3 linked regions of the Lepisosteus oculatus genome follow. The protein of the gene in region 1 binds, or shares a complex with, the protein of each later gene. Links are inferred from orthologs where the notes say so. Each region holds a gene or a part of one and is shown on either strand. Other genes may lie near its edges.

Region 1 (10,604 bases):
ATTCATATCAAAGTGGAAGGGGGAAAGTTCCACAAATTAAACTAAAACAAAAACAAACGAATTTCCACCTGTGCCAGCTCTTGGGGTCTGGGAGTTTGTGCACGCTTGTCCTTTTGGAGTAACTGGCTGCAGCTCAGCCTGATCCCCTGGCACTGATTTGCTCTAATCTGGAGTGCTAACAACCCTTCTGTTTTCACACCTTCAACTCCCACACTGGCAGCTACTTTACATTGTGCCCGATGCGTGAAGATTAAAACTATCTGCATTCCTCAAAACAACACGCAGGCTAGTCTGCCTCCACTCATCGCCCTCCAGCCTCCCAACCACCTAGGCAAGACAGAAGACATTAGAGATAATGGCCTCACAGTGGATGTCTGAGACACTCTAGTTAACCTCATTTAGTAGTTCCGGAAAGCACTCTGCTATCTGTAACTTTTGACAATTTAATTTCAAGTTGGAGAACATTAAGGCAGGAGAGAAGTGAAGGCTGACACACAGGTACTTCAGACAAACTATTGCCTATCCTGCAAATTATTCATTTGCCTTTAGCAACACTCATGTTTCCTGGACACAAGCTCTCAGCTCCATGAAGATAAAAGAAAATGGAAAATTAACAAGAAAGTCCCATTTCCAACAGCAGCTATACCACATGACAAGATCAAGCAGTCAGACCTCAGCAAGATCTCCAGGCATGGCTGAACTTGGTCTGTATTGGACCAAGAAGAAGAGAGGAGGTGGCTGCTATACCTGGCAGACCAGTATATGGTGCTCTTTCCTCTGGACCAGAAATACTAAACCAGCATGGCAAGTGTGACAGGACTAAATACCTTCTTTTGGACAAAGCATTAAATCAAGAGCCCGAAAACTTGGCCTTTAAAAATCAAGATTTAAGAGCTTATTAAGGCACCCTTAATAAGAGCAGAGCTGTGAGTTGTGGTGGTCAGGTTAAATTTCACTCTTGGATTGTAGTAGCCAGCCTCAATAAGCTTCCCCAGGTCACAGGTGGGTACTGTGCTTCAGTGGTAGATGAGGCAGGTTCTTGCGATGCCTAAAAAAAAAACCTTCGGACCATTTAGGATGAAAAGCACAACATGAGTGCGAATAATTTGATATCATAACAGACCTAAGCTACGTATGTGACAAGCTGTCCAGATGGTTGCAGTAATGGTGAAAACTGCTCCCCCAGCATCTCTCCAAACCACAGAGTTTTAGACCATTCAGCAGGAATGTGACCCCTCTGATGTGGATTTGTGTTAAACTGGATGTGCCTAAGAGCAGGCATACATACTTTTTTGCTCTATAACTTCGGGGCAGTACGTGTAGCCACACTACAACACGCATGATAAACAGAATTCTGCTTACGCTGCATGCGCTGTGGGATGTAAAGCTTAGTAGCACGCAGGGAAGCCAGGTTTTTGTGAACAAAGGAATGCAAATAAGATGTTTACATAAAAAAAGGCAAACAGGCTATTTACATATATGCTTGCAGAAGCCCATGATGAACCAGGATATGGAGCAAATAAGGGATATGTAACATGATGCAAAGCAGATTCCATATGGAAAACTCATTATGAGTGAACTGCGTAATAAACAAACACCTCACATTACTGTTAATAAAGAACACTTGTCACAAACTCTCCTTTTATGCGAAAAATAAAACACATTCCAGGCACATTCCCATGCACTCCAGTAAATCTTAGCATTAATTTTTAAAATATGACATTGTTAGGAGGCTGTTTGGAGTTCTTGCTAGCCTAAAATATAAATTTAGCGGTGGCCCGGTTAGGTCTTTCAGCTCTGCTGCAGGAATTTGGGGTTATAGTGCAAATAGATGTTTTTCCAGCTCAAATCTTTCCAGGGTTCAGTGGGCTGTTTTGGAGCAGACGCTGGCTGGATATACCATACTCTTTTTCAGGAGGAACAGCAAGTTTCAGCTCACAACAATAACCAGACAGCACAGAGGCGAGACTTCAAAAATAATTGACACACGACCTTCATGGACATGAATACCATGGACACGGGCCCTGACTTTGGTACAACACTGCGATATGCATTGTAAAAGAAATACAAGTTATAAAACAGGATCTGTCAACGTAATATTTCTCCGTAGAGTATTTATTGTGTTTATCACTAAAATAAAGCACAAGTGGAAACAGGCATGTTTTTATTTCCTCTAAACCATATCTAATCTTTTGGAAGCTCTCAAAGGGCCTCAGTAACCCAAATCTTCAACACTAACGGAACACACTGAACATTTTCAAAACCAATCCTCTGAATTGTTCTCAAAGGGGACCTTGGAAATTCCCCGAGATATCTCAGCTGAATCCCGAAACGGCCAGCCCAGAAGCTGCACAGGCAAGACCAAACGAAAGACGAAACCCAAAACACAAACACAGACAGTTCAGTAATCGCCTACCCTGCAGCACTGAAGTTCCTGCATGAAGCATGTCCAGGCGCGAGGTGGGTGAGGGGCAGAAACCAGGGGTCCACCTTGCAAACGATGCTCATCTAACTTAACAGAGGTCTCAAAACTGAAGGGGAATATAGGATACCTGCCATGGCCACAGGAAACAGACAAGGGCCTATATCCTCATCAGACTACATGCACAAGTGCAGTTGTCAGATCCCAACTACCCAAAGAAGACAAAACAGACTTTTCAGATAACGTCTTGCATGTCTGAGAACTATGGCTCAGCAAAGGCTGGTGCCTTTTCTACAATGCCCAAAGGAAGCATTTACTCCCATTAAAAAGTAAAACACAAACGCCCATTAGAATACATTTGCAAATCTGCAATTCTGACTGGCACACACTTAAGTCACCTTAAGTAGCTACAGACTCAAGTACTGGCAGCAGAGCCTAACTGTACTGCAGCAAACTCACCGGAATACAACCGATGCTTAGTCAGGTGAGCGACTGATTAGAAAACTTAGAAGAGGTTATCACTGATAAGCCAATACACTCAAATTAACAGTAACCCTATTTCAGAAGCTGGGTGTCAATACCTACGGCCTGTAACAATCCTTCACATGTGTACTCTCATTCTGCAGCTGCCACTCTGCTGAAGGGGCTCTAGAGCAGAAATAAGTACCACAGACAAGCTCAGCAGGGACAGTTTTAAAGCAGATGCGAGGGTGATAAATCCTCTTAAGAAACAGAGGGCGGTTCACCTGCGTGCCCAAGATTTAGAGCTGGGATGACAGCTGTCTAAAAGCCCCTGAGTCACCCACTCTACTTCAGGATGAGGAGAGAGGTGGCATGTCCCACACCTATGGGAGCTATTCATGTACAGTGGGTCCAGTCCCCTCTACCCTGAATCAGGGTGGCAGCAAGGACAACTAGCAGGGTCCCAATAGCACCCCCTTTGCAATTAACAATCACCCCTTCACAGTGACCCAGAAACATTTGGGCAGTCACAAGAAAGTGTGTCAAACAGCCACAATATCATGTATCTGCTTTTACAACAGCAAATACATCAGCAAAACAGATGGACTAATCCCTACCTTAGCAAAGTGCAATGTAATGGTGACATTTAACTACATATTACACTGTACTGCAATATGGGATTTTTACAACACAAATGCTAGTTTTGCCTACAGCAGCAACGCAACTGCCAAAATATCGTGCAACATCTTTATCTCAAATGCTTCTTTAAAACTGGCACTAGGGGAACTGAAGATCTCCCTCACAGGGGGGCAAATCTCATTTCGTTAATGCGTTCCTGGGTCACTACTGTAACCCACGCAACCCGCTTTTGTGGAGTAAATCTGAACTTCAAAGCAGACGTAATCCGCTCAGAGCATCAAACATCTCTTAATGGTCCAGATGCAATCGTCTCGGAGGACAGCTGGTTCCGTACCCGTCCGGCGCTCAGGAGCTGCAGCGTCCGTCTTACAGACGAGTACATTCAATCACCTGATGCCCTCACACATCCTCAAGGCAAGAAGCAAGGTTTCGGCTCCAGCAGCACAGGCCGGGGTAGCAACTTGACCTCCGCCATGTTGGCAGCGAAAAGACATGCACCCAAAAACCCAAACATCACGGCACCGTCTGCCGGGCTCGGACAGCCGGGCGGCAGGGGATTTAAAAACAAACCGCAGAGGGGGTATTCAGATAGCAATAGTGTTTAAAAGATTACCGTGAGACATACACACACGCCCCCCTGCTACAGGGGTATGTAGGGGATGAAAGCCATTTCTCCTGTATGAGGTTAGAGAAGAGGTCGCTCTTCTAACGCTCCTGCTGTCTGCGGTCCTTCAGCAGTTCGGGGAAACACAACGATCGTTTCCATTTCCCGGGGTTCGTCAGCCAAGCTGGACATCTCGTAGAGCCGCTCTCTCAATCGTTTAAAACAACAACAACAACAACCCGGCTTCTGCGGGGACCGAGCTCAGCCTCCCCGCCGCGCACGCCTGCACCCAAACCGAGAGGCCCAGCAACCCCAGCCCGCAGGACTGAGCAGCGGCCCCCCCTTCCCTTCCCGGCCCGCACGCCGACGCCGAGTAGGCCGCAGAGCCCCGCCGCCGTGAAGGGCAAGCCCGTGCCCGGCTGCCTCCTCGCCGGCCGGCCGGGGCTGCGCCGAGGCGCCCTCACGGCTAACCCGGCCCGGCCCGGGGGCTCTCCCGGAGACAGCGGGCCGGCCCCTGCACACGCACACGCACCCCCGCTGTTAAATACCCCCCCAGCCGACCCCCCCCGACACAGAGAAGAGCCTTGGGGAGGAAGAAAAAAAAAAGCAGACCTCTACCTTCGTGCTCGCTTTTACCTTTCCCGGGCCAGGACGAGCTCAGCGACATGGTCGCGGCCACTGTAACGTGCTCTTCCCACAACAAAGCGGAGCCGCGCCGACCCGTAATCCCAACCGAAACCCCGTCCGGACCCGGTCCGGGAGGGGGTCAACCGCTTACCTCTGACGAAATGTCTTTTTTTACTTTACTTTTTTTTTGTCGCTTTCCTTAATTATCCCAGCAGGCTTTCCGCTCGTAATGTTTTTTTTTTACCCTTTCGTTGTGTCCAGTGTTTCTGGATCCCCACATCCACGCTGTGTGTCTCCACACACACACACAGAGACAGACTCAGCCGCCGGTCTCGGAGCCGCGCACCGACTGTTGTTGAAATACTTTTCCACGGGAACTGCGGCGGGCGGCGGGGGCGCGCAGCCGGGAGCGCGCACCAGCTTCAGAAAGCGGGGGGCGGCGCTTCCGTCCATCTTGGCACGGACGTCACGTGCTCAGGTGTGCGACGCGGTGACAGGTGTAAAACAAACATCCCTGTATCTTATTGCCGAGTAAACGGCGCTCTAAACAGAGGGAATCGGATCAGGGCCGAGTTGAAGTCTCTAAGGAACAGCAAAGGAAACAAAACCCAATACAAACCAGGGGCGTTTTAAAGCGGCGGCAATTTTGGCGTGGAGGCGTTAAGCATTAAGTGATACTCAAATCCTAGCCGACTATCATTTTCAAAATGTCTTAACTACAAGGAAATCATACTGTATGTTTAGACTGCATGTGTACTTCTGTTGTAGGTGTGTGGCTTCTAATAAAACAAACACTAAGTTCAGCTCAATGGATCAATTAGTTGATTTAATGAAGCAAATATTTGGACATGGATATGAAAAGTAACCAGAGCCAGTAGGAACAAAAATACAGCTCAGGAAATCACAATGGATTTTCGGGACATAAACAGTGTAACAGTTGTTTTGTAACGTCAAAACCAACGTTAGTGTCTTGTCTGACCTCCCTGAAGACTAACTCAGCCCTGGAGCACTGACTCACAGTCCTGATCAGCCTCTGGACCGTAGGCTGTCCGGCTACACTCTTCCAGGGCAGCTGCTGCCAGCTGGTCAGGGGCGGCCTGTCGTGACGTCTCCTGTTGAAGTCTGTAGTAATTTGGTCCCACAGCTGCTCTGTTGCCACAGAGAGACCCTGACAGTGTTTTCCTGAGGTTGTCCTGTTGTAATCCTGCCTGGGTGGTCTTGCATCATCCGTTCTGGAAAATGTTCACTTCCAGCCAGGCTTGCAGGAATGGAAGAGCTGTTTCCTCAAGCTCTTTCTTCCTCAGCAGTAGGTTTGTGGTCAGTCTGAACCGAAGGTGTCCTGGTGTTAAAGGAGACTCCTCTGCACATCACCACACCTCCACCACTCCAGCAGTTTGTCTTCAACAGTCAACATAAGGCTCATGAAGGTGTCTCCACACACCTTGTCTTCCATCAGTCTTACAAGAGCCCAACAGGAGCGGAGTGGTGGCTCTGTGGCTCAGGATCTGCGCCTGTGGCTGGAAGGTTACCAGTTCAAATCCTGCAGCCGGCAGAGGAATCCTACTCCGTTGGGCCCCCGAGCAAGGCCCTTCACCCCAACTGCTCCAGGGGCGCTGTATAAATGACCCTGCGCTCTGACCCCAAGCTTCTTTCCCTGTCTGTGTGTCTCATGGAGAGCAAGCTGGGGTCTGTGAAAAGACAAATTCCTCATGCAAGAAACTGTATAGGGCTAATAAAGTGATGTTATGTTAAAACAGCCAGGAAGTCAGGAAATAAAACCCTCCAGCAGTCACTCTGCTGCCACCCCATGTCCTCTGGCCCACAGCAGACAGCGATTTCATCTCCCTGCGATGACATGTTAGTGAGCCTTTCTGCACCCCCACCTGGCTTCCACAACACGCCGAGACTGAAGAGCCCCAGCCGACAGAGGACAGCAGCTCTGGGGTCCCTGTGCTGACAGGAGTGACCAGTGAATTGGGCTGCAGGCAGCCTGTGTCATTCCCAAACCAGAGCCCTTTCGACAGCCTGGCTACAGACGAAGACCGGGTGAGTTGTGAGACACTGCAAGAGGAGGGTAACTGCTCTGAGGCCATCTTAGAGACTGTGTGCGGCAGGGACACTTTTTCCTTGCAGTGCAACGATAATATGCCTCTGCAAGGACACACTTCTGTCTGCAGTACCAAGCACCTGGCTGTCTCGCCTCCTACTCCTGTCTGCATCAGAGACACAGACAGCAGGCAGGGTCACTCTGCGTCCTCAGACGAGCTCTGCCAGCTAGCGGGGAGCCCGGACTTCATCCCAGAGCCCGTCTCACAGCAGCAGGAACACAGGCAGGACCTGGAATTCATCTTGTCTCCAGACAGCGTCCGTCTCACTACCATTTCTCCCACACACATTTTCAGCACGGTTCAACAGCACCGATTTGAACCCAACGGGGAGCTCACACTGCAGTCCCGACACCAGCCAGCGGGCATTGATTTGGGCCAGAGCAGCGTCATGCCCGGTACCCCGGTGCTGCTGAAGAGAACCGGGCCTGCTCTTGTGTTGGGCCTCACATGAGGGTACTGTTCAGGGAGCCTGGTTGAAAAGGACCAACCAGGGACAGGCTGGATACCCAGGAAGATAGAAACTGGACTGGATAATGGATTTTGAGTTATATAATGCCGTTCACAACATGTTGATATCTGGTACTTTCCTTGTGTTTTTTAACATTTTTGTCCTAACATGTTTTTTTGTTTTGTTCTGCTTGAAGTGTGATGCAAGACAGTTTTGTTGTTGTTTTGTTTCAGTTTAACATGTGAGAACTGCCTGAGCTATTTTTGTGGTTCAATGTTTTCGGTGACACTTGCTTTTCATGCTTTTCGGCCTTTGCCATCGTTTAGGCCTCATTGTTACGGCGCTTAGTGAAGGACATTTACACAAAACATTTTCTTGATTTTATTACTGGTTTAGTTTAAAAACTTGTTATGGTTCTATTTACAATGTTTGTGTTTTGTCACATTTAAACCTTAGATCTGTTGGTTTAGTGCTGCTATTCAAATGCACCTTTCATATGCCAGCAGCTATATCACCCTGCAACTCACAACTGGCAGCCCACTGAAGCTCAGCAGGTGTGAGCCTGGTCAGTACCTGGATGGGAGACCTCCTGGGAAAAACTAAGGCTGCTGCTGGAAGAGGTGTCAGTGGGGCCAGCAGGGGACCTCACCCTGCGGTCCATGTGGGTCCTAATGCCCCAGTATAGTGACGGTGACACTATACTGTAAACAGGCGCCGTCCTTCGGATGAGAAATAAAACCGAGGTCCTGACTCTCTCTGGTCATTAAAAATCCCGGGGCGTTTCTCGAAAAGAGTAGGGGTGTTACCCCAGCGTCCTGGCCAAATTTCCCATTGGCCCTTACCAATCATGGCCTCCTAATAATCCCCCTCTATGAACTGGCTACATTCATTACATACATACATTAGCTGGTGTGTGGTGAGCATTCTGGTGCACTATGGCTAGGGCTGGGCCATTCTGGTGGGGCTGCACACTGGTGGTGGTGGTCAAAGTGCCAAACAGGGACTCAGGTTTACAGCAGCAGTGCCTTCCAAGCAGTGGAGACCATGTGTACCCTACTATTCCCAGCATTGTCTAGGTAAAAGATAACTTTGATTGTTCTCCTTTACAGTTTTACCTGGGACCAAATCTCTGCCATTGTCTTAGAGTCACTTCAAACAAAGACTCTTTAGAGGAAAGAAAAGGAACAGAATGTAGTTTTTTGTGTGTGTTTTTGTTATAATGAGTAATGGACACCTCTGTGTTTATTGAGTTGAAAGAGCTGTGGTCTATAGCAAACAGTTTATTCTGTCACTGAACAGGGTTTGCAAGGCACCAGAAATTGGTAAGCGACACTTGTGGGATTAATCAGATCTCAGAAGCAGAAGCTGAAATCCGCGTGAATCACATAAATAAGGTGACTTCCACTGTTCAGTACAGATTTGTTGGGTCCACTGGGGAACCTGTATGCAAAGTTTTGTATTTTTGTTTTGCAAAAGACCACTAGCCATAAAACGACATCAGACACAGAGTGATTGTCCTAATGTTGCTAACGTTGGTAATTGGGCATCCTCTTGATAAGCCTATAAATAAGGGAAATCAAGTTGGAAAAAACACTAAGCTCTCTCAGTAAAGAACACTCGTTTTCTCTTAAACTGGGGAATTTAAATTCAGAAACCTACTGAAATATAATTCAGATAAAAGCAGAAATATGTTACCTTTCCTTCACCCCTTTAATAACTTCTCTACTCTATAAGGTCACTTGATGAAACCAATTATTGGGGACAATAGTTTTGTTACAACTTTGGTGGCTGAGACATGATAAAGTTTGTGACACTGGGAAGAGTAAATACTTCTATCTTCAAAGCAGAGAGGATGTTTGCTGAGGTCTGGGGAGTCCCTTGAGCAGAAACAAGAATAGTAAATAATAGTAAAATTCATCTTAGTATGTCTAGGCAAGTTGAGCATTAATGATTGCAAAGGAGCAAAGCAGAAAGACACAGTTTCACATTAAGAGCACAGGAGAAGAGAAGCAGGAGGAGAAACAAGGAGAGCAGGGAGAAGAGAGGAGTCCGGAGGAGTTGGGACTTGAAGCTTGTGCCAAGTGAGTGCCCCTACCTCTTGATCATCCAAACCAAAATTGACTGGAACTGAGTAGTTGAACCTTATCAGTGTTTTTAGGGAACTTGGGTTTCCTGGGTAAAAGATACCTCAGTTAGAAACATCTTTCCTGATTAGGGTGAATTTTATGGATAGGGATATATGCTCCCATTTATTTTGTGGCATCCAAGGCGCAGAGAGAGAGACTTAACTGTAGGTTGCTTTGTATGTAGTTAGAAGGCAGCTCACCTCTTGTGAGGCCTCTGTAGGCATTAGTAGCAGTCTGGAGTTGTCTGGGTGACCAGAATGTTAGGCCTCTGAAACGCCTTATTTGTAAATTCTGAATATAATGTAACTTTGTGTGTTGTATGTTTTGTGTCTTGTGTAGTTTATTGTAATATCTGTTTTAACTAAGTGTGCCTGGATTATTACTCCTCTCAACAAAGCTGTGCCAGAGAATGAAGAATTCAGGTGTGCCTCTAGTTATACCAGCTGGGGTATATTGTTAGAAATCACATACAAGTTGGTGGTCTATAAATAATTATTTCACTGATTAAACCTCTATGTCAATTGCTTTGTTGTGTGTTGTGTCATTGTTTTAAAATATCTGTCCCACCCCATTTGTAACAATATACATATTAAGAAATAATACGTCTATTAGAAAAGTGTCAATAAATTATTAATCAGAAGCACATAGAGTCCAGGCAGGGTGAATAAGTGTCATTAGGAGTACAGTATAAAGGTACTGTTACTTTACTGTGACTCACTCCATCTCTAATGTTACAGTAACCCGTGTGTCTCTGTGTGGGGACAGGCAAGCTGGCATACAAAAACCGTCTGCATCTATATGGTATAATATATGACACTTTATGTGACTAGTTCAGGGTTGTGGATACTAGTATTATTCAGTTTAATATTTCTAATTAAAAAAGGGGTGTAATATGTCTTAATAAGGCTTGCGACCTACAAAAAATTGTGTTCTGTGAATGCACTGATACTGTTGAAGTAGTAGCAGACAAGGCCTTTTCCTTTGTCCGATGGGAAAGAAGTTTGATGTCAGTGACATCATAAGAGACTTGACTGCCGATTACATCACTGGCACACCGCGTAAGGCAACAGCAGACCTGGCTGAGGTCTCCATTCAGACAGCCTCAGGGCAGAAGCAGCAGGGTGTAGCTGGCAGTTAAAGGAGGCTGCTAAGGCCAACATTAAACCAG
Region 2 (10,165 bases), on another chromosome or scaffold:
TCCCCCAGATCGAAGGTCCTTTCCTCAGTGGTGGGAGGAACAGGATTTCTGTTCCCAGTGGTCCCCCACACTGGCCTGGCTAACTTAATCACAGAAGGGTTCTTCTGTCTTGGCAGTATGCAGAGCATACAGCAGACATTAGCCTGCAGAGCTAATAACCTCATATAGCCACCTTTGTTGAAGTGCTCAATAATCACCTATCCCAATTGCCCTGGTACCTGATACCTTACCACACTGTCCCACAGCTATCTGGCATTGTGAATTCCCACAACAATCTCCCGAATGCTAACACATTAAAATTGCATTCCCCCTGCTTTAATAACTAGTCTGATCAATACATTTTGGAGGTGCTAAAGCACACACAGAGCCCACAGGGCTAGCACTGGTGATGTAGTCCTTTCTTTCACTTCAGTCATAAAAACATCTTCTTCTGCTATGTGTCTTTTAAGCCTGACATATCGGATTGAGAGTACCAATACTATATGATTTATACATTCATCTTTCCCCGTGGCTGTGCAGGCTGGACTGTATCATGTAGCAAAGTACATTTGAGCATGAGTATGTCCACAGCCTGGTGTGATGACATGCATTCAGGCTGTTACCATTCGAATTTTAAATCAGCTATCATCTCAAAATCTTATAAGTAACATTAAATAAAACTTCCATGGCGTGTTTAGAAATGAAACAACCCACAATGGTACTAGTTTAGCTCACCGCTCGCAACCTTGAAATACTCAAAGACAAGTGCGCCACCTCCTGGTCAAAGGGTAAAAATGTCTCCTTGCAAGCCTCCTTTCATTAAAAACCTTTAAGGCAAAAGCTTGTAAGATATATTTTCTTAATCGTACAAATTTTACAAATTGAGGTTTTTTTCATCATCAAGAAAGGATCAAATGCCTGGAATTCCTCTTGTAAAAACTATCTATAGGAATCAATAAGCATCTCTGCGTAATCAACAATGATAAAAGTCAGAATAGGTGGCGCTTTTTTATTTAAAACGTTCGTCTTATTTATACTGTCACGCTTCTCAAGAAATACATATTTATTTCAATTATGTTTGCGTGGTACACACGTTATTATATTTCAGGAGTAGCAGAACTAATGCAAATTATTTCACGCCTCATCAGAGTTGCTTTCACGGTCTGGTAAATTGATCTGATTAATAATTATGAATATTGCAGACATATACAGTATACTGTATGTTATGTGTAAGCAAATACTACAAATGGTTAAAATGGACTGAGGCACAATTTGGGAATTGCATAGATTGGCAGCTCACTGGGGAAAAGTAGGAGATAGTGGGAAACCAGTCCCACGATGATTTTAATCATTTGAAGTCTTTTTTTTTTGCACAGAAGCCTTTGAATCCTTGTAAAGGGATACAGAGAGGTCAGCGCAATCATGAGTGCGATAATTAAAACCGAGGACTGTTCTGCCTGGAGGCGTCTTCGATCCTCAGCGCTCTGACACGTTACCTGAAAAGATAAGCAAGTCTTCTTCATGTTTCCTGGGTGTAAATGACAGTTAACTGTCTGCAAAAAAAAACAACAACAAACGAATACATTTATATGAGCTGCTTTTCGATAGGTATTTGCTGGCGATACAGTATAGCAGATTCTGTCGAAACTAAAAGCTGTGTCTCACTTGTGTAGAACAGGCGGTCAGAATGTAAAATTGTGAAGTTTTGTTTGACGGCCTTATGATGATCAGAAAGGAGATATTTATAGTCTCAACATTTAAAACGTTCAATGGTTAAGAAAATCAGGTTACGGGAATGCTACAGTGTGTCTACTGCATCAGGTCATATACTAGAGAGTACCACCAGATTAAAAAAAGTGGAAAATAGTCCAGATCATATGGTGCTTTTAGTTAAATGGTGAAATTGTTCTAAAGAGAAATTAAATGCTGCGATCAAATGCTGCCCTCTAACTGTCACTGTCAGATCTTACACACAAATAGGGAGGGTGTCAGATTTACAGTAATATACCTGAAGGGTCTCCCTTGTCTTCTCGTGTCAGACTCTTGAGAGAGTTCCATTCTCTGCTTTTTAATTCGTCAATTACCTAATTACTTGCAAGAATGTAAAACTCCCCTCAAGGCTCAGAAAGGTCAGGGACCTTGCCCCCCAACAGCACCTTGAAAGCGATAGTCTGTAAGTATATGTGTGCATGTTCTAAAATAAAACCTAATTAAGAACGTAATTAGATTAATTAAGTGCTCGTTTTTGGACATACATTGCAGCCCTCTAGGAATGATGATGAGTCCTAGTGTTTTACACCATGCATGTCCACCTCTGGTCCTGGAAAGAACCTAACAGGTCATTCCAAATCGGATTGAGAATACGTTTTCCCAAAAAATCACATTACCGATCAATGATGTACGCAATGTGTTCAACGAAATGGACTATTTGGGGGATAATAATTTATGTTCCAAACGATTTCAAAATGATTTTAGAAGTTGTGTTTTTACCACGTGACGTCCTTATAAAATTAGTGTACGAGTTCGACAGATTCTGTTCTTCGTTTACTGTAAAACACTAAAAATCTTGCTTAACCTCAAGTACACTTTATAGGTTACTAATGTCAGAAACTTTTTAACTTGCATTTTACTCCTGCGCTTCCTTCTGAATTGCGATTCACGATTTCCCTCTTTTTATTAGTCCCATTGCAGTTTTTTTATATAATTGTTTGATCCTGCTAATTGTCAATTATGTTTATTAGTGATTGCATCACTTCTTGAATCTCGATTCTTTTCTTCGTCTTTATTGAAGAATATAATATATGGGTCTCTGGCTCACATGTAACCCAGCACAATGCAATTAATCAAGACAGCCATAACAATGCAAAAGTTAAAATAGGTCTGTTATAAACCTTAATATATGGCTTTAGTGTAGTAACTACGGAGTTACTGAATAATGTTTGTTTTTAGATAGAAAAATTGCGGAATGGGCTCCGGCTATCCCTCGATCCTGAAGTTGTTAAAGAATGTTTGGATGCTAATCGTTCTTATACAGGTGAACTACTATAACGGAAAATGAACAATAACCGGAATGGAAAGTATTTTTAGAATGCTGACACGAAACTTTTTTTAAAAAAAATCATGCAGTATGATTAAAAGCTCTTAAGAGTTAATTATTTTGTGAATTTAAATATTAATTCTTAACATTTCTGGCCATGGGATTGATGTTGTAGTCTACACTTTCTGTGAACTGTGGACGGATGTCGTTTTTAAATAAAGTTGTGGTTTGAAAGTCACGATGCAACATGGCTGCTTCCATATGGGGGAGGTTTGTCGCTTCGGGGTTGGGGATTTTGCAGTCTTCGTTTTGGAGAGCTACCCAGGTAACACTTAAATCTTTTAAAAGCAGGTGACTTTCTCAATGTTTAGAATACAGGCTTCTATATTGGGCATTTGAAGAGGTAATGGCAGTATCCAATAAACACAATGTGAAAAACACAAGTATCTCATCGAGTACAGCATTTGGAACGACTTACAATATAGTAAAAAATCGTTTTCTTTTAAAATTTACCAGCCATTTCTCAAGATGATTTCTACCTCTTATTGTCTTGCAGAAACATTTAGAACATGCAGTTTATAACTTTTATCATCCTTCTATACACCTTTTACGTGCGCTACCCTTTTCAGTCCTTGTGTCTCAATAATACAGAATTCGTATATCTTCGCAGAAGCGCATCTACCCCGGCAATACAAACCCCATGATGTTTTGTTTCTGTGGACCCTTCACTGATAACTGAAACTCGGTCACAAAACCTGAAACGGAACCAGAGCTTTCTTCAAGCAGACTTTGCATCTGCAAAGAAAACTCCTGGATTTTAATCAAGTGCTCTATCGTGTCTTAACATCCCAATTAAATAAGAGCCTTGTAGATTCAGGTAATTGAATACTCACTAAAATTATGTAGCATACGCCTATTACGTGTGGATGTGCAGATTTTTATAAGGTGTTGAAAATCGCTTTAAATGCTGTTAATGGAGTTAAGCACGGTTATTTAAAACCGATTAAGCGCATTTTGCGTCATTCTCTGCTATTTTAATAATACAATATTTCGGTTCTTTTCCTCTTGTCAGACCCTGAGAAGTTCCAGATGTAATGTGGAACAGGCCAGAGGTTACTATGTGGACTGGAGGATGCTGCGAGACGTGAAGAGAAGACAAATGGCGTTTGAATACGCAAATGACCGACTCCGGATTAATGCGATTAGGAAGAACACAATCTTGCCAAAAGAGTTGCAGGTACTGAAGAGATCTTCTTTTAATTGAAAATGCCGTTAGAGATTTTTTTTTTTGATTGAGTCGCATATACTTAGCACTACCTGTATTTCTTTTTTTAACTTAATTAATGTTCTGTACTGTTATTCTCTTTGGTGCACTGTGGGTAAGTCTCTGGATCTTTAACTGGTGGGGTGTGGATTAAAGTGTTCTCTGCTGAGGGTCTCTATACTAATTGGTCAGGTCCATTCAGGCTTTGTAAATGAGTATTGCTGGGAGCTGGTGCCCTCCTGGCTTGAGGGTAATGTCAAATGCTCTGTCATTTACTTAATGCTGCACAAACCAGGATAAGATCCGACAAGCCACATGTGACTCAGATATGGAAATTACTGAGTAGAACCTCTACTGTATTTTAGTGTCTGGTTGCTGCACACTTTGGTGATTCTTCGAAGGAGAGTGTTGTAATTGCACTGCAGCATATAGTGGTCAGAAACAATGTAATCAGCATTTTATTGGTATTTTTCAAAGCTTTAGAACACTTTAAATTGACCTGCAGCTCTACAGATGCAAACATCAGATGTCTATGATGTTTGAACAGACCTTGACTAAAAGGATAGTGAAGAGGAAAAAGCTGCATTAGCACTGCTGCAATGAACGATACAGTGTTCTAAATAACTAACGGCATCAATCAGAAGACCGTTAAAAGTAAAGTTTGTCACCTGCCCTTTTGTGTTTTTATGTGCCTTGAGCAGATGCACATATTTCTGGAAGCTGGTGAGTTAAAAGCAAGCCGGTACTGCGCGTGATGTTGCTCTGGTCTGTTTCTCCCTTCTGCTAGGAGGTAGCCGATAAAGAAATTGCCGCCCTGCCACGGGACAGCTGCCCAGTCCGGATCCGGAACAGGTGTGTGATGACGTCCCGGCCGCGAGGGGTGAAGCGCAGGTGGAGACTGAGCCGGATAGTTTTCCGCCACCTCGCTGATCACAATCAGATGTCGGGAATCCAGAGAGCAATGTGGTAGCAGTCCTCTTCATTGGGATTTCCTCGCGCAGTAGAGCTGCAAACAAGGGACAGTTGGCACAGTGGCATAGGACTCCACTGCACTCTCGTCTTTTTATTACTGTTGCTTTTGTTACTGGGAAACTGTAGCAAAGGAAGAAAAAAAAATGTAGACTATGTCATTGCACTTGTGTTGAATCAATTCTAATAATAAATAAATTAAATACCTGGATGTTGGGAGCATTTACTGTTTTTCTTTTTATTTTCTTAAAATTTTAGACATGCATTTAATCAAAAGTTAGACTTGCTTCTCAATTGGAAATTACTTTCCTGGCCCTGATAGTGTTGGTCTATGTAATGAAGGCTACATTCTTATATCCACTGGAATCCTGTCAGGAAATACAATGTAAATTTCCATCTTCAATAGAAAGGTGACTTAAAAGCCTAATGTTTCAGACCTTCATGTATTTACCTTTTTTTGTTTTTAATAGCTACATTATTGTATAAAGTAGACTATAGCATAAAATAAGTTATTTTAAACGACTGAGGATTTTGACAAGTTATGGGCTTGAAAAGAAAATGCATCAATTTTTGTAGAGCACCGATTATAAAGCAAGGAAGGCCTCCTGCTATACCGAAATTAATCTTCAACAGAGGTTATTAATCATGGGAGTTCACGGATCTGGATTAAAAAAAGGACAAGTGGGGAAGAGGTCGCGTAGTCCGGAACTCGCCGTATCCCATAATTCCAAGAGTGAGCGCGACGCCGGAAGTCCGTGCCGAAGGGAATCGCTGTAGTCTTTGTAGCCTGGAAATGACGTTAAAACTTGCCGACCTACGCAAGCACGTCGAGTCCGGGCTGCGTGAAAGAAATCTTCTAGAATGCTGTAGAAGAAACGAAAGTAGTGTGGTATTGTGACAGGCGATTATATGAAAACCACTGCTGTTGTTACTTGGTATTAACATTATAAACTCTGTTTAAGAAAACGTCTGCGATAGAAAAAGAACACTCCGTTGTACGAGCTGCATACAGTAAATCAGCGGTGATATATAATTTCTGCTCCCTGTTGCAATGGGCACCAATGAACAGGTAAGTAGATAAAATAACTGATTGAGAAACTATATACAACAGTACCTACCTTTTAAAACATTGTGCCCTCCAATGAGCTTGTTTAGATGCATAATACTTTTCTTGGGCTCAGGTGCATTAACTTTTCACAACAGGTTCACTATGGCTTAGACCATGGACTCAGAAGCGTTTGCAGTGCGCTATTGAATCTAGCAAAGGTGTTGCATCGAAAAATAACGATATTTCTTCGAACCGTATTGATTACTAATCCAACCCTATTTGCTCGTTGTTCGGTGTTAACTTTTTGCAAACATAACTGCCAATGTATCCTTCTTGGTAGTTTTATAGTTAATTCTGAAGGGTATTCTCTCTTATTACATATACATACGTATGTTTCTGATTGTATTTTATCTCCTCACGTAATTAACACGTGGGTTTTTTGACAGACGAAAAACGCTTATCAGACTAACAAACATCTGTCTTCTAACCTTGTTAATTAATGTACTTATTACCTGATAATGAGCTCTTCAGTTGATTTAATGTTGATATTTTAAAATGTTAAGTAAACCAACAAAGATAAAAGATCGCATTGTCATATTCCTTCTTTAAGACTGTAGCAAGCCTTTACTTTTATGTCCTTTTTATGCTTATATAGACCAGTTGTCACTACCTAATAACAGGAATTGTATTATTTTTTCAACAAAGACAGCAAGTGTACAAATAATGTAAATAAATAATGTCTAATGGACGTGTCTTACAGATATTCTAACATATTTTTTGTATCTTAACAAAACAGTTCTTGCATGCAAAAAACAAAAATATGACACAGTTTAGCAATATTCCCCGCAATTTCTAGAACTGCTAATACAAGAGCAGTGTAATGCTTTTTCCCGTTTCTCAGAAGAACTCCTAATGGAAAAACAGTCCAGACTTGACAGAGAAGAGTAGTTATGTTTTCTACAGCTTCTTGACTTTATCAGAGTCAAGGTCGTTCTAGAGAATGCACTCTTACAACGTGTGAGCTAGTATGCACAAACTGCTTTGGGCTGCCTTTTGTGACCCTGGAGAGTATGGCTGGTTCTTCTTCCATCTCTAAATGGTCATAAAACATGCATCGCAACTAAATTATCGGAAATTTCTTTGTATATGTGACAGTATTTCTTGGCATATCTACTGTAAATGTCATTACAAGTAATAACATGGGATAGACTAACTACAAAAAGGGGCTAGATGGATTGATCATCCTTCTCTAATTTGTATCCGTTCTTTATTTTCTTGCATTCCTAAAAATCATTTCTGGTCCTTGTTTTTGCTGGGGTTTTTTTTTTCAGATTTCTCAGCTTGAGAGTGACCTGAAGGAGGTCAAGTCTTTGCTGGAGATCGCCGAGAGAAAGAGAATTCAGGATGTCCTGACTGCAGAGCAGAAGAAGCTCGAGAGAGAAATCACAGCGAAGCAGCAGCAGCTGAACAAGAAGGAAGGTTCTGATTCAGACAAAGCTGTGCCCTCAGCCGCCAAGGGCTACACTGTCAAAATCAATAACTACGGTAATTTCTTTTCTTTCAACCTGCGGTCTGGTAAAAAAAAACTCTAATGATTTGTCAGCTGGTTCTTTTTATTCTGTTTTGCTTATAAGCTACTCTCTAAAGTTTCCCTTCTTATATTCCTTGAAAAGCAAAATCAGTAGGATATTATAATTCCCTGTTCTTGATGGCAAAGTTACCAGCTGCAAAAGAAAGCACGATGTTCTTCTGTTAAATATGATCATACTCATCTGTGGAAAATCAAAAAGGAATGTATCTTAATTCCAAAATCAAATAAAGTAGGATTATCTTTGTCTATGGAAAGCTAGAGTTCTGTGTTAACAGCTGGCGCTTTTTTCTTACAAAATGTTCTGTTCTTTATTGAGGCACAGCTTGTAACTGCAACCTTGTTGACTGTAGTGTTGTATCTGTTTTAAGATTGTTTAATCTGTTTTAGATTTGTCTGCATTCAGTATGATGATTCCATTGCGTTTAGCGGCCAACGGTCATTTTGTGTTTAAACTGCACTTCTCAACTTTTTTTTTTCATCTTTGTTTTCCCTATTTATCATGCAGGATGGGACCAATCGGATAAGTTCATAAAAATATATATTACTCTTAAAGGAGTCCATAAGATCTCAACGGAAAACATTGAGGCAAGCTTTACAGAGAGGTAAGAACAGAGTTGAAAGTACACTTCTTCTCTAAAAGTTGTATTAAATATTGTTAATAAAGGTATTAAATTATTAAAGAATAACTTTGTATGCCATAATTTCTTACTTCCACATTAAAAACATTTTAACTTTAATATATATATATGTGTTTTCTGTAGGTCTTTTGTCTTGCTTGTAAAAGATCTGGAAGGAATGAACTACCAAATGACTGTCAACAACCTCTTACAACCCATTGACATACAGGAAAGCTGTCGAAAGGTCAGTAAAGATACTGGTTTTTTAAATCAGGATATGTGAAATTGCTAAACCTTGTAAACTAGTTTAGATAAGCTTTTGCAATATATGTGTCATGTGATCTTATTGTTTAAAAGTCGCCTTTGTAGGAAAATCAGTTTCGAATATTGCACAGCACGTGCTTTGTGTTTGCCATTGTTTTTATTTGGTTGGTTGTCTAAACTGTTTGCTAACTTCGTAGGTGAAAACAGATATGGTCTTAGTGATGTGTAAAAAGAAGAGCTCAAAAAAATGGGAGTGCTTGACCCAGGTGGAAAAACAAACTAAAGATAAAGAGTAAGTATTGCTATACTCAGAAAGCTAAGTTGTGCTGTTTATTAGATAGTGTACTTTTCCAAGTAGATTGAATAGATTGCTTGGTGATAGATCACTTACTGTCATCCTGAGTGTTTTGGTTTCTTAATTAGATCTCTTTTTACAAGTTGCAATATATTGGGCATTGCACAAAAGTGAAATGTCTAATTTTTGCATTAAATCAAAGGTAAATCTGGGGAATAAAAAAACGTTTGAATTTTTAATACACCTGACCTAATCGTGGTTTGGTTTTTTCATTTTGATTTAACATAGATTTAGTTTTTATTGGAACTGGAAAGTGACAATTATCGGGACTTGCATTTTTAAATGTATAGAGAAAATTGTTGTCAATTGTAAGTTAACATTTGACAATTCCTAAGGCTTTGATGATTGGACTCATTTGTTTCCTTCCAGAAAACCCAGTTTTGATGAGAACGCTGACCCAAGTGAAGGGCTCATGAGCATGCTAAAGAAAATCTACTCTGAAGGTGATGATGAAATGAAGCGAACCATCAACAAAGCTTGGGCAGAATCTCAAGAGAAAAAAGCCAGAGGTGAAGACATGGAACTCTGAACCACAAAGATTAAATACTGAAAGGAAAGCAAACAAGAACGGTGGATTGCTCTCCTTTTTTGTCCCTGAAAATACTTTTTGTTGTTCACCTCTTACTGAAATATTGACTGCTTCCTTTAGCATGACATACATTGTTACCCTGCTGCAACTGTGGACTTAAAGGATGGTCTAAAGACACAAATGGATTTTATGTTGATAACTGGTTTCAGGTGAACTCAGATTGTAGGTCGTAAGTTGAGAAAAGATGTTTGTGTGGTTTTGTTTCTGCTCACTGACTTCCAGTTCATACCATATAGAAGATAGTGAACTAGCTGAGTTATCAGAATTATTCTTAATCATTCTGTTCTTAAAGACAGCTGTGATCAGTGCATGATGGAGAAAGATTTTAAAGAAAATTTGAAAAATTCTTAGCCTATCATCATTACATTTGCGCAGAGTAACAGCTGGAATATGCAGGGAAAGGGTGAACTATGTGCCTATTATTCAAAAAAAACATAAAATAAAATAAAATC
Region 3 (9,830 bases), on another chromosome or scaffold:
CACAAAGGTCCTGAATGCCACCATACTGTGTTTGCGTGCAGGAATACTTCATACATTTAAAAAGGCATTAAACTCAACACGAGGATCCTTCTAGATCTTCTGTATCATAACTTGAAATTTGCCTAGGAAGGAAGCAAAGGAAAGCATTAAAACCTTATTCTTGTGTCCTTAAATATAACAGTATATTTGGTGGACATTTGAAAAAAGAAATGAGCTATATTCATGTTCATGCATAATCCTTCACTTGATAATAATAATTTTTTATCCTTATTGATTTTCAAGGGATCAGTTAGGCTTTTACCTACCTATTACAAAGCTCAAGAATACTGATATACAGAAGTTTACAATTTGACACAAATAATTTTATGAACAAGTAAAAGGTTTATTCCATGCTGAAAAGAGAATAAAAGAGCCTTCTCCGGGTGTCAAACAAGGAGACACAGCTGAAGAAGGTTCCATAGCCAAAATGTTGTTTCCTTTCTTCTCTTTTCAGCATGGAATAAAGCTTTTACTTGTTCCTTTGCAGCCTACGCATGCCGACGCAGCTACCTACTTGAACTACATAAATAATCTTATTTACATTCCCTTGAATTCACTGGTCTATCAAGGTGACTCTGTCCTCAGTTTCTGCTATACTAGAAGAGGAACTTATTGGAAATAATCTGGTTTCATGACGTTTCATATTACAGTTTCATTTCCACTGAGCAACTTCTATGTACTGTATATAGACCTGAAATACAAATGGCTTCCATTTTCTACTCCAGTGTGTTTTTCCAAACAGATAATATGATTTGACTGGAATTAAACCACATCTTACAAATGGAAAACTACTTCATTTCTTCCAGGCAGTTTCTCTTAAAGTGGAACATGAAAGATAATGTCCCCAGCTGAGACCAGTACCGAGATATAAAACAGTCTATTCATGAATTGTGTAGAAAGCAAGTGAACTCACATGCAGGCATCACAGAGACTTCTGCCGTGACAATGCTTTTAACCCCCAGATTTGACAGTCCTCCTCTCACCAGACCACAGGTGAATGCCAAATACTGAAAAACAACACAGTGTACAGTCCTTTTAGGCCTATCACCTTAAACAAAATAACTCTAATACCTTCCAGTCTCACTTTGCCTCAATCTGTGCAGATAATGAGGAAGTACTGTGCATTAATTAAAAACACAAAGGGTAACTGTATATCATGTTCTGACCTGTTAGATGTGTAGTGGGTTCAATGCCAATGGACGAACTTGGGACCAGATTTTGAAAACCACACCTGATTATGTTAGAGAGATACGCTTCTGTGCAAAAGTCTTTATCTTAGACACCATCAGGGATTACAACATATACCTGTACATAGTATGTACAATTTCCTCAAAGCACCCACTGCTATTTTCTACTAATAAAACAGGTTTGCCAGTATTAATACAGCCTAGAGTGAGAATCCAAAAAGCAATCTCTTTAAATTATGTTGACCAGTATTTTCAAACACCTAATCATAGCTATTCAGGGTAAACCATACATGAATATGAAGTGCCGTTGTAGTTAATCCATCATCTTTAACAATCACATACAATGGACTCACTGTCAGGTGTTCCTAATCATTAACATCACTTGTTCCTCTACACATCCACAAAGATGAAAGGATGCTTTTTGTTTGTTTTTGTTGTGTACTTAAAATGAAATGGCTGAAATTTCAACTGATCTATGTTCACACAGCAGAGAAAAAGGAAACTAAACAATGCAGAAGGCTGAAGACTGGAATTTCAGTAAAATACGATTTTGGATGCCATGCCTTTTCTTTTTCAAGGATGCCAAAAATGTATCTACAGTGTAATATATATTATCTGCACTCATTTACTCACATGATGCCAGCATTATAGATGGCTTTCCATTGTACCTATACACTCTCTATTTCTATGGAAAATAGCAAATACAAACCCTCATCCTATTTATACCACTAAGTGTAGTGCGTGTGTTTTAGTAATTTCAGGAATGACATTTAGTTTATTTTTTAAGTTCTCATTTGAAATTTAAGCTACAACTGATCATATTCTAAGCTTGTACTGTGTGATCTTCTATGGAATCATCTGATCTTAAAAATATCTCTCTTTGGCACTGACTTGAATAATCCCAGCTGAAAAACAGCAAACTCAACGACATCTAGGACCCTATTAATGAATATAGTTTGTTCTTTTTAAATTTATTTTGGAAGTACTGTATATAGCATTGTCTTACCTTGGGTGCATGCTCTAAATACTGTTTTCCTGCAGAGATCTGTGTCAGCAACCGGAACTTGTTATCCTGTAGCACATAAATTCCCTGCAAAGGTCAATATGCATTTATTATTAATAATTTATTGACTTAGCAAACACCCTTGTCTGAGATGGCATATTGTTTTACACAGCTTTGCATTATTTTTTTTGCACTTATTCAGTCAAATTATAATTAAATGTGTAGAGCATAGGATAGTAAAAATAAAGTACAGACAAAAAGATCACCTGATGGTTTGTTCTTAAGTTATCAATTTGCTTTTTGAAAACACAGGTCCAGAAATCTTTACAAATGAACTTCATGACATCCAGTTCATCTTTGAACCGTGCAGTGTCTTTGGTGAACCTGGCAGGAGACAATACAGTAATTTAGTCTTTTATTGATTTTCACTCCCATTACAAGTGGAAAAATCATTCAGAAATACTACTGGTGTTATACAATAACACCATAAACATTGGTAAACTGGTATTTTATGAATGATTTCCCCCCTAATGAAAGGTAATAAGAACAATACTTTACAGTTCCCTTTCTAACAGGATCCACCAACGTACAAGATTCATTATAATAAAAAAGGCACTGTCCTTGGCTAAAGGTAATTACTTGACAGTTTTTCTCCCTGGGAATCTAAGAACACAAGAATGGTTACAGACAAGAGGCCTATATAACTCTTTCAATTACTAGTAGCTAATTGACTGAAGGATCTCAACTAGCTTTTGTTTTTAATAAAAACCAAGGCTTCGACAACATGGGAATCTCTTCCTGTCCTTCACCCAGAACACTTTGTAATTTAAATGTTGTTGGCAGAAATATTAAAATTACTTTCAGCATCTGGCAAATTGCATGTGTTTCCTTGCCCCTGCTGAGGGTAAGAAAAAGGTATATTGACACAGATATATGACATTCATCATGGACTGCCAATATAATTATTATTTTGAGGTTTTACTTAACTTGAACTTGAACTTTATTGCCATATGTAACCGGTACTGGTACAATGGAATTCTTACTTACAGAAAGTCTCTCGATTGTAAAACAAGTGTAAAAAACAAGACAAAGTGCAAACAGTGCATCAAGACAATGTACAAACTTGACATACAGTAAGAGTAGGGAGCTGCGTCAGCATGCGTAGGCTGCAAAGGAACAACTAAAGCTTCATTCCACGCTGAAAGGTAAAGAAAGTTTCTTTACCATTACCTTTCTTCTCTGGATGAGACATAAAACTTAGGTCCTGACTCTCCGTGGTCATTTAAAATCCCATGGCGTTTCTCAAAAAGAGTAGGGGTGTTAACCCCCGGTGTCCTGGCCAAATTTCACCCTGGCCTTTACCAATCATGGTCTCCTAATAATCCCCATCTATGAATTGGCTTCATCACTCTGTTCTCCTCCCCACTGATAGCTGGTGTGTGGTGAGCATACTGGCACAGTATGGCTGCTGTCGCTTTATCCAGATGGGGGCTACACATTGGTTGTGGTGGAGGGAGTCCCCATTACCTATAAAGCGCTTTATGTGCAGTGTCCACAAAAAAAAAGGTGTATAAAATGTAAGGAATTAATTTACCTTACATCATGAAATTAAGCTTTACCTGTTCAGTGACATAACTGTACAGTATTCTCCATGCTAATGATACAACCGTGAGCAGAACTGTTTCCTACACACCTGTCTCTATCACTATTTAAAGCGTAGAATGAAGTCTTCTGATATTTTCTTGTGAATATGTTTTTTATATCTCATCATTAAGTGGATCTTTAACTTTTTTTTCAGATTTGTACATTTCAGTACAAATCTGAAAAAAAACGTTTGTCAGAACAGGACCCAGTGGATTGGTACTTGGTACTAAGGTCCAAATAAATTCCAAATGACACGCTCATAAAGTGAATCAGAGATAATAATAATAAATAATTATTTAAAAATGTTTTTTAATATACCTTTCTATTAATCCTTGGCCCACTCTGAAGCCCATGTTTTCCAGTCTTGTTATGCATCTCCCATTCTCCTGGAAATAACCCCCAAAAAAAACAACAGTAAAACTGATCACATTAAAACTTAACCTGGCTTAGGTATAGAGGCGCACAGAAATGTTAATAAGCACGTTACCACTAATACATAGTTTCTAATCTCCCCTTTGTTGTAGGTTTTTCGTAAACTGAGGCAGTGTAACCCAGTCATCTGACACGACAAGCAGACTTTCCATATGGTGCTATACGTTGTACCTTACAGGACGATAACTTCTTCTCTGCACTAATTCATTTGAATTAACTGATAGTGCGTACTGTACATACATCACTGTCTCCCACTGCCGTCTTTTCAGAGCAACATCCACCAGGTGTCTGAAGCTGGAAGCGTGAACCTCTTCAACAGCCGGTGTGTAAAATGGCAACAACTGGCACTGGAGTATTCACAGAATGTCACTTTTAAATGACTAATTACTTTTAAAAAAGTGATTTTGCATCATTTGAAACGGGTCAGAGTTAATGTCGCCACACGATACTGTATGTTCACGATAAAACACGCTGGATGCAATACTTACCATCTCCCCATGCTCAGCCGACTTGTAAACATACTGTATGAGCTCATTGTGGAGGAACTGAAACAGAACTTCATCCGCCATTCTGGCTCAACCCCTGTCCAGCAAATATCCCTTGCGAATGTATATTTATTAACAACACCCAATAATTTGCTACAATGTATTTTTTTTAAAAGAGACGAGAAGACTACTTCAACCCACAACGCCGCCCTGCTAGCAGAACTGAAAACCGCTGTGCACCGGCGCAGCGTGTATCTTACTGTAGAAAGATAAATATACCTACGTTCAGTCGTACACACATTCACAATTAAAAACGGGTCGCGCTGTATTTAAAGTGTACTAAAACATCTATTCGTCGAGTAAAAAGAACACCTGTTTACATGTTTTAAATAAATCAAATGTAAGACGGTACTAGACCTTTTTAAATATTCCTCTACTCAAGTATTTTACGGGGTCCTTATTCATACAATATGGTCGTCTTCAGAATTGCCTGTATACACACACACACTTAGTCACTTGCATTAGAAGTCACTATACGTCCATGCTATACCGATAAGACAAAGCAGCAAACAGAGAAATGGACAATGACACTACACTGTTTCCTGACCATATAATGCATCTGAATCTGTCAAAATATTATACTTCTTTTTCTGCAAATATAACTCTGCAGTGACAGTATAATACAATAGCTTTGGATAATTGAAACATTGGGGTTTTAAAAAAGGAAAAAGGAAAACAATTTACATATGATTTCAAAAACCCTTGCAGGTTTGTAATGGTAGTAGATAGGTTAGGATATATTGTTTTTAAAACTGGTATGAGCGCTACTAATTTGAGAGACTCGTGAATTTGAGAAGGGGAATCCAGTATCATAGCAATGAGATTTAAATTATTCACACATTTGACCATGTTGTGATGGGATCAAAGTATTGTTTATCCTGAGAGGTTGCGTATACAATGATAAAACTAGTCTATTCTACATTTTCGTCCGAGTAACATTTTTGTGTTTCTGTGTATTTATCATCATATAACCGCCTGTGTATAAATATTGTCTGTATTTTTCCAAAATGTGTTTTTCCCCCTTTTTTTCTTTCCAATATGTGTGACTGCTGTCATTATTGTTGACAAAATCAGATGCACCCCTGTCATGTGACGAGAGTCAATGTTCGACTCCTTGTGGCTTCAGGAAGTAGTTGTGTTGAGGGTTTCGGTTTCAGCTGTTTTTGTTCCTAAACAAAGTGCGAGTCACTGTGCTGAGGCCGGTGAGAGAAAGAGTTGGAGAAGAGAGTTTTCAGCCGCGACAGAAAGCGTCCCCCTTCCAGATTCACTATCGAAATATTCAATAAGGTGACACGGGATGGGCCCGGGCTAGAAAATTCTAGATACCGCCGGTGTGCTGAGCTCCAGTTTCGGACAGGGACGGACAGCGGCCCGCTGCCCGCTGCCTAATTGCGGAGCCTCGGGCTGGAGTGTCTTGTCTCGCCGGCTACCGGTCGCAGGAGGAATCAGAAAAAAAACAAAACACATGAGCAACACCGTCTGCCCCTAAACTCTGTGAGTATAAGCCGCTTTATTTATGCTTTGCATTGACATGGATTATGCGTTAGTTGGGAGAAATGATTATCGATGTCTTGTTAAATCGTGAGGTTGGACAGCTCTCTCCCATGGTCACATTAATCACTGTGATAGATGCTGCGCTGCTCAGATGTCTGTCATTAAGTTGGCGATTCGCTACCTCGACGGCTTTGCACACGGTGGAATTCCTCCTTTGGGCTGGATTGATTTCTTACCGTTGAAACTTCAACGCTCCGTTTCAAGAGGCTCCGTTTGGAAAACGTGGTTTTGTTATGCAACCACTGTCACTGCAATGCAAACAATGAGAGAACGGGTTCAATACGGTTTGGCAGTTCCGTAATCCCGAAGACTTCACAAGCTGGCAAGAGTAATCGGGTTTTCATTTATTTGCCCTTGTTTGCGAACAATTCTATGCAAACTACGAAATCAGAAGGGAAAAGGATAAAGCAGTATGAAAGTGGTATTTTGATTCTGTGATTTATGTTTTGGTTGATTATGCACCTAACACTTGGATGTTACAGTAAGCCACCCGATCTGTGCTGAAACTCCTTTTCGTTGGGAAGGCTTTACGAAAAAGAACAAAACAATGTAAAAAAAAATGAAAGGATAATAGGCCTCTCTTTGCTTTACGCACACAATGAAGCCTGGGTCCCCCCTGTCTTGTCAGATTACCGCAAAGCCGGTTTGTATAGATCTCGTTCGAAGATTAAAACAATAGTCTTAATAACCACGCTCTTCGTTATTTGTATGTCCTGCCTTAGAAGAGTTGCAGGTGAAAATGTACTGGCCTTTGACGCAGTGGAGCCCTTTGGATCTACATCTCGTCGTTTGAATTAAAGAGTTCTGTATTTTCAGGAGCTGACACTGTCTTAACCTGTCCATCAGGAGAGAAGTCTTGTAATCACGTGGGATTTTTCAGTGAAATATAATTCTGGTTAAATGCAGCATACAGTATCTCATTTACTCTCATTCCCACATTACCCTGTGATTAGGGTAAAAGTTCAACAGCTGCAGTAGTGTAAATTTCACATCATACATTTAAGAAATGAAATGATAAGGGATCTTTGATTGCAGGATATTACTTGCAGGTAACAAAAATATGAAATCTTAATATAAGATGGAAGACTTGTGTGGAATGTTGACACATTATCTAGACCTGATGGAAACAAAAATAATGTACGAATTGTTTTTAAAAGTATATAAATTAAATCTTGAGATATATTTAAATTGTACAATGCGTGACTAAAGCCCCATTTTTAGGATAGTGTATCGCTTTTTGTTCCCATGTTAAAAAATATTGCTTCTACAGAATCAGTCCAGGTAAGAGCGATCAGATTCATTCCATTCATTGTCCTACAGAGACAAGCCAGAAGAATTGAATCTTTTTAGACTGTGTCCACTAATTCAGAATTCTCAAGCCCTTTGACAGAGTCAACCCATTGGACTTCTGCAGAGCCTACAGTGAAACATAAACAAGAGAATATAAGTGGGAACTATGGGGAAGTACATTTAAAATTGGGAACAGGAGGCGTGGGTAGTCAGGTGTCTAGAACAAGCTACCCAGCCACGTTGTCAAAGCTGACATCTTGGCTTTTTTCAATAATCAGTTGGATGAAAACATCGGGTGCATTAAGTACCTTCTCTTGTTTTACCCTGTCTTATGTTCTTGTGTTTGTACCTAAGGTTATTTCAGGTAAGCAAGTCTTATCTTGGTATTCAAAACCATCCCTTAAGTTAAAGTATAATACCATTGGCTTAGGACATTCTGAATTACTGTAAATGACTGTCAGTTTTCTTTAATAAAAAATGAATTTGCAAATTCTTTTTTTTAAATATTTTTTAAATGGCTAAGTAAAGATGCCTTTTAATGTAAACAACTGAGTGTTAGGCTCATCAGTTAATGTTCAGAATATTAGACGAGACACTCTATGTTGACTCCATAATTGCAAGTTTTCTGTCCCTGTTGTGAACTACAGAACAACAGTAGTTTGCATGTGACACAAAGTCTGTGTTTTACAGTATCAAGCTACTGATTTGTTAACATAGCAGAATCTCCCATGTATTATTTAAATTATCCAAAACTGCAGTAACAAAAGTTCTTTGCAGTATTTCATTTAAAAATGTATTGAAACAGCAGGCACATTAACTGAGCTTGTTGGATTCTGACATATTGTTATTGCCTGTGATGAATTGGCTCTAAGGCTTCAGTCATGAACATTTCCTGTGTTTCAGTTCTGGAAAAAGAAATCTGCTATAAGATGTTGTAAATTCAGTTCCTTAGCATGAACATATTACAGCTGAAGATGTATAGTTTAACATTGTACTAAACAATTATTGAGTTTAATTCTCTATTTTGGTGAATCTGTTTTTGTTTACATTTTAAGCAATTGCTTTTTCTATTTGCAATAATAAACTGGTGTTCTTTAAATGTAATTATTTTAGTTTGAGATACCTGTGAATACATTTTATACTTATTTAAAATAAAAGTAACATTTGTGTTTTTCCTTTATAGTTATAATGTGTATATTTAATAAGTCTACTTCAATAAAGTAATAAGGATAATGTTAAAAAAGTAAAGAACCATAATCTAATCTCCACTGTAGTCAAATCTCATTAATTTAGGAATGATCACCACTTTATTGTTTAAATAGCATCATAAATGACGCAGACATGTTTCACTGCTTTGTTTTTTCTCCTAAGCCATAATAGCTTGTAGGCTGTAAGTGGTCTTTTCCATAACCAGCTCCTGCTTATTAAATGAAAGATGTGTGCAATTTGTAGTAGCATGGTAGACTAGCATTGCACTGAAAGTCTCTGAGCAGGTCATTTTCTAGCGCCTGAGAATGATCTTGGTTCATTAATGGTTTTTAGGATAATGTTAAATATTTCAGATTACCCAAAGGAGGGAGCTGATTCTTTGGAAGTGGTTTGGTGGAAGATGTTTGTATAATTGTGTTAGGGTATGGCAGGGTACAGATTATTGTTAATCTTGCTTGAACCAATGACTATTTTGTGACAATAAAATGGGTAATGCACTACAAAATGAGCCTGCTAGTTACTAATCACATCTGACTAAAGTTTTATTTCAGATTTCATTAGCATGTGTCTTAGTCTGATGATAAGAATGAGTGGTGTATTTTGTAGAACATGTTCCTTGAGCAGGAATCTGTACTTTGTACAAAAATTGCTTAAAACCTGATTATATCCTAGGACTGTCTCTTGGTCAGTCCAAAGATATAAGGTCAATAAGTCAAAACGTGTTTTATTTTGCCCTGATTTTTGTTGGTACCGTAAGGGCTGATGAAAACAGGTAGAAACGTACTGCATCTTGTTCGGGCACATTGAATAACAGATTCAAAAAGAGATTTGAAAACTGCAGAATTTTATACACTTGCAGGACCCAATTGCTTTGTGTAACAATTTGAGCAAACGCCATTCTTTAGATTCTGCTGAAAATGTATGATA

Evidence for each region.
Region 2: the proteins of siah1 (region 1) and cacybp are in contact, whole or in part, in a crystal structure (PDB 2A25), measured with the Homo sapiens proteins. The link is inferred for Lepisosteus oculatus from reciprocal best matches to the Homo sapiens genes SIAH1 and CACYBP. Residues at the interface, in NP_003022.3 of Homo sapiens: Leu158, Gln159, Asp162, Ile163, Val164, Phe165, Leu166, Ala167, Thr168, Val176, Asp177, Trp178, Val179, Met180, Asn276; in NP_055227.1 of Homo sapiens: Lys59, Pro60, Ala61, Ala62, Val63, Val64, Ala65, Pro66, Ile67.
Region 3: the proteins of siah1 (region 1) and usp19 are in contact, whole or in part, in a crystal structure (PDB 4X3G), measured with the Homo sapiens proteins. The link is inferred for Lepisosteus oculatus from reciprocal best matches to the Homo sapiens genes SIAH1 and USP19. Residues at the interface, in NP_003022.3 of Homo sapiens: Cys130, Pro131, Thr156, Leu158, Gln159, Asp162, Ile163, Val164, Phe165, Leu166, Ala167, Thr168, Leu172, Val176, Asp177, Trp178, Val179, Met180, Asn276; in NP_006668.1 of Homo sapiens: Lys463, Pro464, Thr465, Cys466, Met467, Val468, Pro469, Pro470, Met471.

Annotation. Positions count from the first base shown.
Region 1 is NC_090715.1:1,593,090-1,603,693, forward strand, and holds the start of siah1 (E3 ubiquitin-protein ligase Siah1), read right to left. Parts: upstream 4,104-10,604; 5' UTR 1-4,103. UniProt on the Homo sapiens protein: E3 ubiquitin-protein ligase that mediates ubiquitination and subsequent proteasomal degradation of target proteins.
Region 2 is NC_090704.1:6,020,553-6,030,717, reverse strand, and holds the start of cacybp (calcyclin-binding protein), read left to right. Parts: upstream 1-6,057; 5' UTR 6,058-6,300; coding exon 6,301-6,318; intron 6,319-7,628; coding exon 7,629-7,842; intron 7,843-8,393; coding exon 8,394-8,490; intron 8,491-8,649; coding exon 8,650-8,749; intron 8,750-8,966; coding exon 8,967-9,061; intron 9,062-9,493; coding exon 9,494-9,653; 3' UTR 9,654-10,165. Other genes in the region: mrps14 (small ribosomal subunit protein uS14m), read left to right, coding at 3,264-3,341, 4,089-4,253, 5,068-5,250. UniProt on the Homo sapiens protein: May be involved in calcium-dependent ubiquitination and subsequent proteasomal degradation of target proteins. Probably serves as a molecular bridge in ubiquitin E3 complexes. Participates in the ubiquitin-mediated degradation of beta-catenin (CTNNB1).
Region 3 is NC_090699.1:56,115,423-56,125,252, reverse strand, and holds the start of usp19 (ubiquitin carboxyl-terminal hydrolase 19), read left to right. Parts: upstream 1-5,964; 5' UTR 5,965-6,344; intron 6,345-9,830. Other genes in the region: trappc6b (trafficking protein particle complex subunit 6b), read right to left, coding at 91-122, 953-1,046, 2,233-2,316, 2,496-2,613, 4,192-4,259, 4,794-4,874. UniProt on the Homo sapiens protein: Deubiquitinating enzyme that regulates the degradation of various proteins by removing ubiquitin moieties, thereby preventing their proteasomal degradation. Stabilizes RNF123, which promotes CDKN1B degradation and contributes to cell proliferation.